2 linked regions of the Caenorhabditis elegans genome follow. The protein of the gene in region 1 interacts with the protein of each later gene in a biochemical or structural test. Each region holds a gene or a part of one and is shown in the gene's direction. Other genes may lie near its edges.

What was found. Proteins that work in one complex are often made in the same cells at the same time.
Region 2: the proteins of par-1 (region 1) and nmy-2 form a complex in vitro, tested with the Caenorhabditis elegans proteins (one study listed by BioGRID).

What each region holds. Positions count from the first base shown.
Region 1 is NC_003283.11:14,124,740-14,128,495, reverse strand, and holds the start of par-1 (Serine/threonine-protein kinase par-1), read left to right. Parts: upstream 1-1,957; coding exon 1,958-2,181; exon of another isoform or gene 2,182-2,240; intron 2,241-2,252; coding exon 2,253-2,385; intron 2,386-3,756. UniProt on the Caenorhabditis elegans protein: Required for cytoplasmic partitioning and asymmetric cell division in early embryogenesis. Phosphorylates and restricts the asymmetry effector mex-5 (and possibly also mex-6) to the anterior cytoplasm of the zygote.
Region 2 is NC_003279.8:7,932,894-7,936,649, reverse strand, and holds the start of nmy-2 (Myosin-11), read left to right. Parts: upstream 1-2,072; 5' UTR 2,073-2,106; coding exon 2,107-2,151; intron 2,152-2,202; coding exon 2,203-2,505; intron 2,506-2,951; coding exon 2,952-3,136; intron 3,137-3,187; coding exon 3,188-3,413; intron 3,414-3,460; coding exon 3,461-3,623; intron 3,624-3,668; coding exon 3,669-3,756. Other genes in the region: T22C1.1 (UBR-type domain-containing protein), read right to left, coding at 1-184, 327-384.

The sequences.
Region 1 (3,756 bases):
ACCTATCCCATGTTTCAAATTTCTGTCAAAAATGAGTCAATAGGCACACAAAAACAGAAACTTTATCACTACTTCACAGACATGACGGAGTCAATTTTTGACGGCCCGCCGGATGTGATTCATAGACTTTGAACCATTTCAATCGATAAGCTATTGGAGCTCCTGTAAGCTGGAATCTAATTGACTAACAACCAAAAACTGGCACAACCCTATTCATTGCTTTTGTAATGATGCTCTTTGGTGTACATTTTCATGTTTCCTCCACCCTCTTAGTTCTCAACCTATTTAATAGTGCCACGTCAATCCGAGAGTTTGTGATGAGTTTCTCGGTTAGTACGATTATAAAGAAGAAAAGTGAGACGCGAACTTCTTTTTTTCAACTCCATCTTCGTCGTCTCGGTGCACCTGGTGTGTTGTCCTATTCTATTCGGTTCTACCTCCTCCACCCCCAATCTATTCAATTTTTATTATTGACTTATCGGAAAGAGAGTCAGTAATAGGAGAGGTGGACACGCAGACGTTGTGAGAAAACGACAAGCGCCTCGACTGAGAGAATTGAAGAACTGACTCATTTTTGTACTGAACTGACTGACAGTGCAGACTGGTTGACACACCTGCTCAGAAGCTGCTGGATCACCTTACACATTCACGTGCGACACTATTTTATTCAATTATTGTTCGCGATTCAAGATTCAAGAACTGTTAAGATGACGAAGAAATCGTACGCATTTGCACTGGATCTCGATGATTTGTGCTGTGACGATCATCCATATTCATATTCACCACCTTCCACATCTTCACGGCATTCTGCATATTATCCATCTCAACAGCCTCGGACCTTTTTTCCGGAATATGAATTGACCAGGTTTCTATCTTGTTTCAAAATATTTTTTCCGGCTGCTTCTCTTCTTGAATATGACTCATCGCCCCCTCAATTTTTCGTTGGTCGTGCTGCAAGAAATTTTCCATGATTCATCATAGCAGCTTGTAGTATAGAAGAAGACCATCGTTGTTCTTGTTGAACATCAGATTTTACATTTTATGTCCGGCGCCTGAGTTCGCCTTACTTTTTTTGTGTTCTACGAGGTACGGGCAATATGATGAACGTAGCCACTAAATGGGGCAAAGTGGCCGAATATAATTAGTACGTTTCTAGATTCGGTTGACCTTTGATTTTATATCCAAAAAAGGCAGTTTAACGGTTTTCTTTTTGAAAAACAATTTTTTCTAACTGAGGGGCTGGAACTTCCTTTTCTATTGGAACAACGCGTCTCAAATGAAAAAAAAAAGTTTCCGAAGCGCTATTTTTCGAGTTTTTTTTTTTCATTAAATCGGCTGTAAAAGTCGTCATTTCTTCCCCTCTGTGCTGACGTCTTCACTCAAAATGAAGAATTGCAAGCACAACGAGATGACGTTGGATGGCCCCGCAAGCAGTCAGCATCGAATGAAAATTTAAACACAGAAATTCAACGAGCCCCGTCCATCAAAGCCACAAAAAAACGGGGGTCCGCGAAGGGAAATTAGAAAAAACGAAGAGGCATGGCGGGGGGGGGGGGGACACGATTTTATGTAGCACTTGGAGCAGCACTTTGTGGGGGCATTTATCGGTCGGCGGGGAGGGTTTTTTGGAGAAATTCCGATGTGATGGGAGCAATAGAAAGAGAAGGGGACACATATTCCCTCTTAGTTTTTTTCTCCTTTTGCTCACACTTTTTTCAAGAGGAATACAGACAGATAGAGAGAGACATGGATGCAATTTGTGTCTCTTCTCCAAAGTGTGGATGGATGGATGGATGGATGTGTATGGAGAAAGGCCGCCCATCTTCTTCTTCTTGCTCGCTTGCTCCTCTTCTACTGCCGGCGCTCTCCTCGTTTTTTCCAGTGTGTCCGTCCTCCACGCTTTGCTCCATTTCGGGGAGCCCCAGGGCTCTTACGCGTCCGTTTGACCTAATTCGATATGTTCAATGCGGCATACTCGTCGTTACTCGCTAGATTTATGTGCCAGCCAAGTAGTTCATCTGTGACGCCTATTCCGGAAGAGGAGGAATCTCTGATCCCGAAGCGAAAAGTGTCTGAAGTGGTCACTACAGCTCCGATGGCTCCCACACTAACTTCATCTGGGAAACGGCGAACGGTGAAAGTGTCACCTGATGGAGATCATGTCACACATAACCGAAAAAAGTTAATTTTAGTTCACATTTAAAATTAAAATAAAGCCCCAGTCCACCAGTTTTCAATAAAAATTTTTCCAGCTCTTCATCACATGCACGATCTACTGGACAATCGGGTATGTCAAGTCGATCGGCAGCACGACGCAACGATCAGGATGTACACGTTGGAAAGTATAAGCTATTGAAGACTATTGGAAAGGGAAATTTTGCAAAGGTGAGCACTTGATGATTGGAAATTTCGAAAAAAAATAGTTATCAAAAAATTAGAGCTTGAAACATACTGTAGCCGGTCTCGACACGACCGAGCGCCTTTAAGGATTACTGTAGTTACAAACTCCCGGTTTTTGGCAAATTTTCTGTTTTCCAAATTTTTTAAAAATTTTATTTATTAAAACCAGTCGATGACCGCGCCTCCGGCGCGGCCAACGACTGGCGGAGTTTAAAATGTATAATACATAGATGTCCTTTTAATCATTCAAAAATGTATCATTAAAAAAGTTGAAACTTCATCGATTAAATCGCATTTTCTTCTTCCATGGTATTCGATTCAGAAAATTCAAAGAGACAGTTAGAATGTTCTGATTTTTCTACACTCAAAATTATAAAACTGCGTTGCGTGTACGCCAAAATAGTCCCCGCCTTTTTCTCGTTCACTCACGGGGAAAAGGCAAAAAGCGGTACCCCAGGTAATATCAGCCGCCGACATCATTCGAGGTCCGCGCACCACACTATTTTTCTCACTGTTGGCGTGGCGAGCTGTCCCCCTCCCCCGAAAAAATTCCACAGAGTTACAGTTTTTCAATAAGTTAATAACTTTCCTTAACTGGAGAAGTCTGAATAATTAACTACTAATAGTAAGTTCTTTGAATATAGATGTGACGAAACAAATAAAAACTCCTACAGTTATAGGAGGTTGTAGAGCATTTCAGAACTTTTTTGAATTTTCCAGATGATTCTAGAACATTCTAGAATTTTCTTGAAACTTCCAGAAGGTGCTGAAACAAAAAATTGATTCCAGAACCAAAATTTGAATTTCCCGCCAAATGTTTTCCTCAGAAAATTTGAATTTCCCGTCAAAATCTTTTTCTCAGAAAATTTGAATTTCCCGCCAAAATTTTTCTTGGAAATTTGAATTCCCGCCAAAATTTCTTTTCTCATAAATTTTGAAGCTCCCGCCCATATTTTTAAAGGTCCCACCACGATGGGTCTCGCCAGTTCCAGGTGGTACTTAAGCTAACAAAAAGTTTCTCAGAAAATTTGAATTTCCCGCCAAAAATTTTTTCACTGAAAATTTGAATTTCCCGCTAAAATTTTTTTCACTGAAAATTTGAATTTCCCGCCAAAAATTTTTTCACTGAAAATTTGAATTTCCCGCCAAAAATTTTTTCACTGAAAATTTGAATTTCCCGCCAAAAATTTTTTCACTGAAAATTTGAATTTCCCGCCAAAAATTTTTTTCACTGAAAATTTGAATTTCCCGCCAAAATTTTTTTTACTGAAAATTTGAATTTCCTGCCAAAATTTTTTTCACTGATTGAATTTCCCGCCAAAATTTTTTTTACTGAAAATTTGAATTTCCTGCTAA
Region 2 (3,756 bases), on another chromosome or scaffold:
CCATAACAAACTCCAGCCATCTCTGGAGCAGGTGTGCATGTGAGACATGTGAATAATGTTTGACGAGGTTTGTAGCCTTCTGCATAAGTGCAAACGTTTGGATTTTGGGTTGCGAACAATACATCGGCTTTGTCTTCCAAATAATCGATGGTTTCCACGATTTCACCAAGGGTGACTGCCTCCTCTGAAAGAAAAAAATGCAATGTTTAAATAATTATTCATTTATTTTTATTAAAATAAATCAAATTTATATTATTGACTCAGTTCTGGCTTTAAAGCAAATCTTTTTTTCGAACGATGTTCAGCATTTTATTTACTCAATCTACCTTCTTCTCCACAAAGAACAGGAGCAATCGATGGTGTTTCTTCCTTTTTATCGTCCATATCTGAAATTTGAAAAAAAAGTGAGTTATTTTTTTCGTTGAATGCAGGAAAATTAATTGAGGCTTCAATATTAAAGCACGAGTTCTTACGGCCGCAAGGTGGCGTAATGGTGTACAATTCAAATATGTTTGGTGCACCCTCACGTAAAAATGCAGACTGTGTCCAGCGACAGCGAGACCCGAAGAACTCGGGGGATGTCCAACTGGGGGGATTACCAACTCGGGGGATTGGCCCCGCCCACAGAACCGTGGCTTGCAATACGCCCATTTCTGCAACTGCCGCACGGTTTTAAAACTGTATTTTTATCAATAGAGCGAGGATTAACAAGAAAAAATGATTTTAAAACCGTGCGGCATTTGCAGAAATGGGCGTATTGCAAGCCACGGTTCTGTGGGCGGGGCCAATCCCCCGAGTTGGTAATCCCCCCAGTTGAACATCCCCCGAGTTCTTCGGGTCTCGCGACAGCCGAGGGCGCCAGTTTCAAATCATCCTCGCGCACCATTTCTACTATTTTTGGCGCCAAACCCAATACAAATGCCGCGGCGTCACCACGAAAAGATTCCTGTTCTGTTTTCTGAATCACCATTCATGTCGGTAACTTGTGACAAGTTGAGAGAGCCAATTCGTGTCCTATCCCGTCCGTTTATTCTTCATTCTCGGCGCGCACGCTTGGCCTGAATGGGTATTCGTTTGCATTTCGTTTTGACCCTTGTTTCCCTCGGCGCATCTTCCTTTACCTCACACCAAAATATTGCGAAATTCACCGAACGGTTCGTACATTACCAAAAGTGGATGGTTCCCACGGAACTAGCGCTTCCCATCGTATTATCAATGCAATGGCGGAATGGAGAACGCCAGTTAAAAAAGAGGGTCAGCGGTAGAGGGAAGACAGCTGGAAAATCGGCACAGCTGCGCTTCCATTATCGTCCTTTTGTGGGAAGTATTTGATATACGAAAGGCTTCTCACTAACAGATTTTTGAGAAAAAGATTGTTTTATTTCACTTTTGAATTATAAGTCGCGTGCCATCGTGGCCTCTGAGAAATTGACCCTTTCTTTAAACTAGTTTTAAAAATAATCAATAAAAGCGTAGGCTGGGCAAAAACAAGAGGTATGTTGCTTTATCTGTTGACGCTGATAATTGATGTGGGCGGAAATCGAAATTTCGATGGTGTGTGAACCCTATTCTCAATCTTTGTGCTCACTTTTTTCGTTTCATTTTACTGTTTCCAATAGTCAACCTTGGTGAATCGCACTGCGAATTCGTGTTCATAATCGAATTACGAATTTAATTGCGTAACGTTTTTGAATAGTCTTATGGAATGCCTTTCCTGAAATACTTTTCTCTTTCCTTTTTTGAGGGATAATGCTGACACCTGAGCCTATGCATATTATCAAACCCGTTTTTGAGAACTAGCTTCCACGACTCATTTTTCTTCGCGTGAATGCCATGACCTTATTGTTTTTCTTCTTACCACATACTTATTTTATCAAACAGCGTGTCCCTAAATTTGTAGAACTCTGTAGCCGTAGCAACAAGTGGATTTGAAAATTTGACGTCTAAAAAATTTTATGTTGAAAATATTTTCGGGACGTCGTGTATCAAAAACGCGTTTTGCCACAGTTACCAGAGGTCAGGTCAGATGGGACAAGCAGATTACCCGCCTTTTATTCCATTTAACTTTTCAGCTAATTGATTACAACAACAGCTCCAGCGGTAATAATGACATCATCTCGACAAAAAGATGATGAGATTGACCAATTGAGAGTATGTTTCTTCAAATATTTTTATAGTTATAGCTTTATTTCTAATTTTCAGGCCAAGACAGACTTCCTCAATCCATCGATTTCGGCAGATTGGGCGAAAAAAAAGTTGATGTGGGTACCCAGTGAGAAGGATGGATTCGCACTTGGAGCTGTCATCGGGGAACCACATGCAGACGGAACTATCGACATTGAGCTTATGGAGACTGGCGAACGGCAGCGTGTTTCGTCTGATGATTGCCAGAAGCCAAATCCTCCGAAATATGACAAATGCGAGGATATGTCAATGCTGACGTGTCTGAATGAAGCGTCGGTTCTTCATAATCTAAAGCAACGATATTTCTCGAATCTCTACTACGTAAGTTTGTCGATAGCTAACAATTCTTCATTGAATATAAATATTCTCGTCAAGCTGGTTGTCGTCTTTTGGCGTTTACATAAGCCTAAGATGCGGTTTCTTTCGTAGCAATTCTTTGTGGCGATTTAACCCCCTAACTCAGAGGAACCAGCTCAAATTATAGAATAAGTTTCAAAGTAGAAATTTTGTAAATGGACCGGCTTCTGCCATTCCCGGAGATTTTCCTATATTGAACCTTGCTGTGACCTTTATCTCTAAGAAGGAATACAGTTATTTCTGTAGTTTGATAATCTTTTTATCAGGTGAGATATAAAATATGCAGAACGTCTCAACCGGTCGTTGGTTTTTAATAATCAAGAGATCCTGATGACCTTTGCAACATTTCAAATATTTATTTAAGGCAAAAACTTATACATTTATATAAATATCAATCGAATTATTTTCAGACATACTCTGGCTTGTTCTGCGTTGTAATAAATCCATACAAACGAATTCCAATCTACACGGATACAATTGCTGAACAGTTCAAATGCAAAAAGAGAAAGGAGATGCCACCACACATATTTGCTGTTGCCGATGAAGCCTACCGCAGCATGCTTCAAGAACGAGATGATCAGTCAATTCTCTGCACGTTAGTTAATATACGAGTTTATATTATCCTGAAATGTGTTGTTTTTTTCAGTGGAGAATCGGGAGCTGGAAAGACTGAAAATACAAAGAAAGTGATTCAGTATTTGGCTTATGTGGCAAATCGGTCGATGGTGAAGAATCGGAAGACTTCCGTTGATCTGGACACATCTACAAACCGGATCATGGGCCAGCTTGAGGAACAGCTTTTGCAAGCAAATCCCATACTCGAGGCTTTCGGAAACAGTAAGACAGTGAAGAACGATAATTCCAGTAGATTTGTGAGTGATCATAACTTTTTAAATGCACGCATCGTTAAATTTTTTAGGGAAAGTTCATTCGCGTTCATTTCGACAGCACAGGGTGCATTTCTGGAGCGAATATTGAATTTTATCTTCTGGAGAAATCTCGCGTGCTGAAACAAGCTCCCAATGAGCGATCGTTCCACATTTTCTACCAGTTGCTGAAAGGACTCTCAAAAGTACAGAGAGGTGAGATTAAATGTTTCTACAATACCGTAACTCGTTTATTTTCAGAACATTATCTCCTAGAAGACAGCCTATCCAAGTACAAGTTTGTCTCAAATGGTGACAGTAAATTGGCTGGAGTTGATGATGGAGCAGA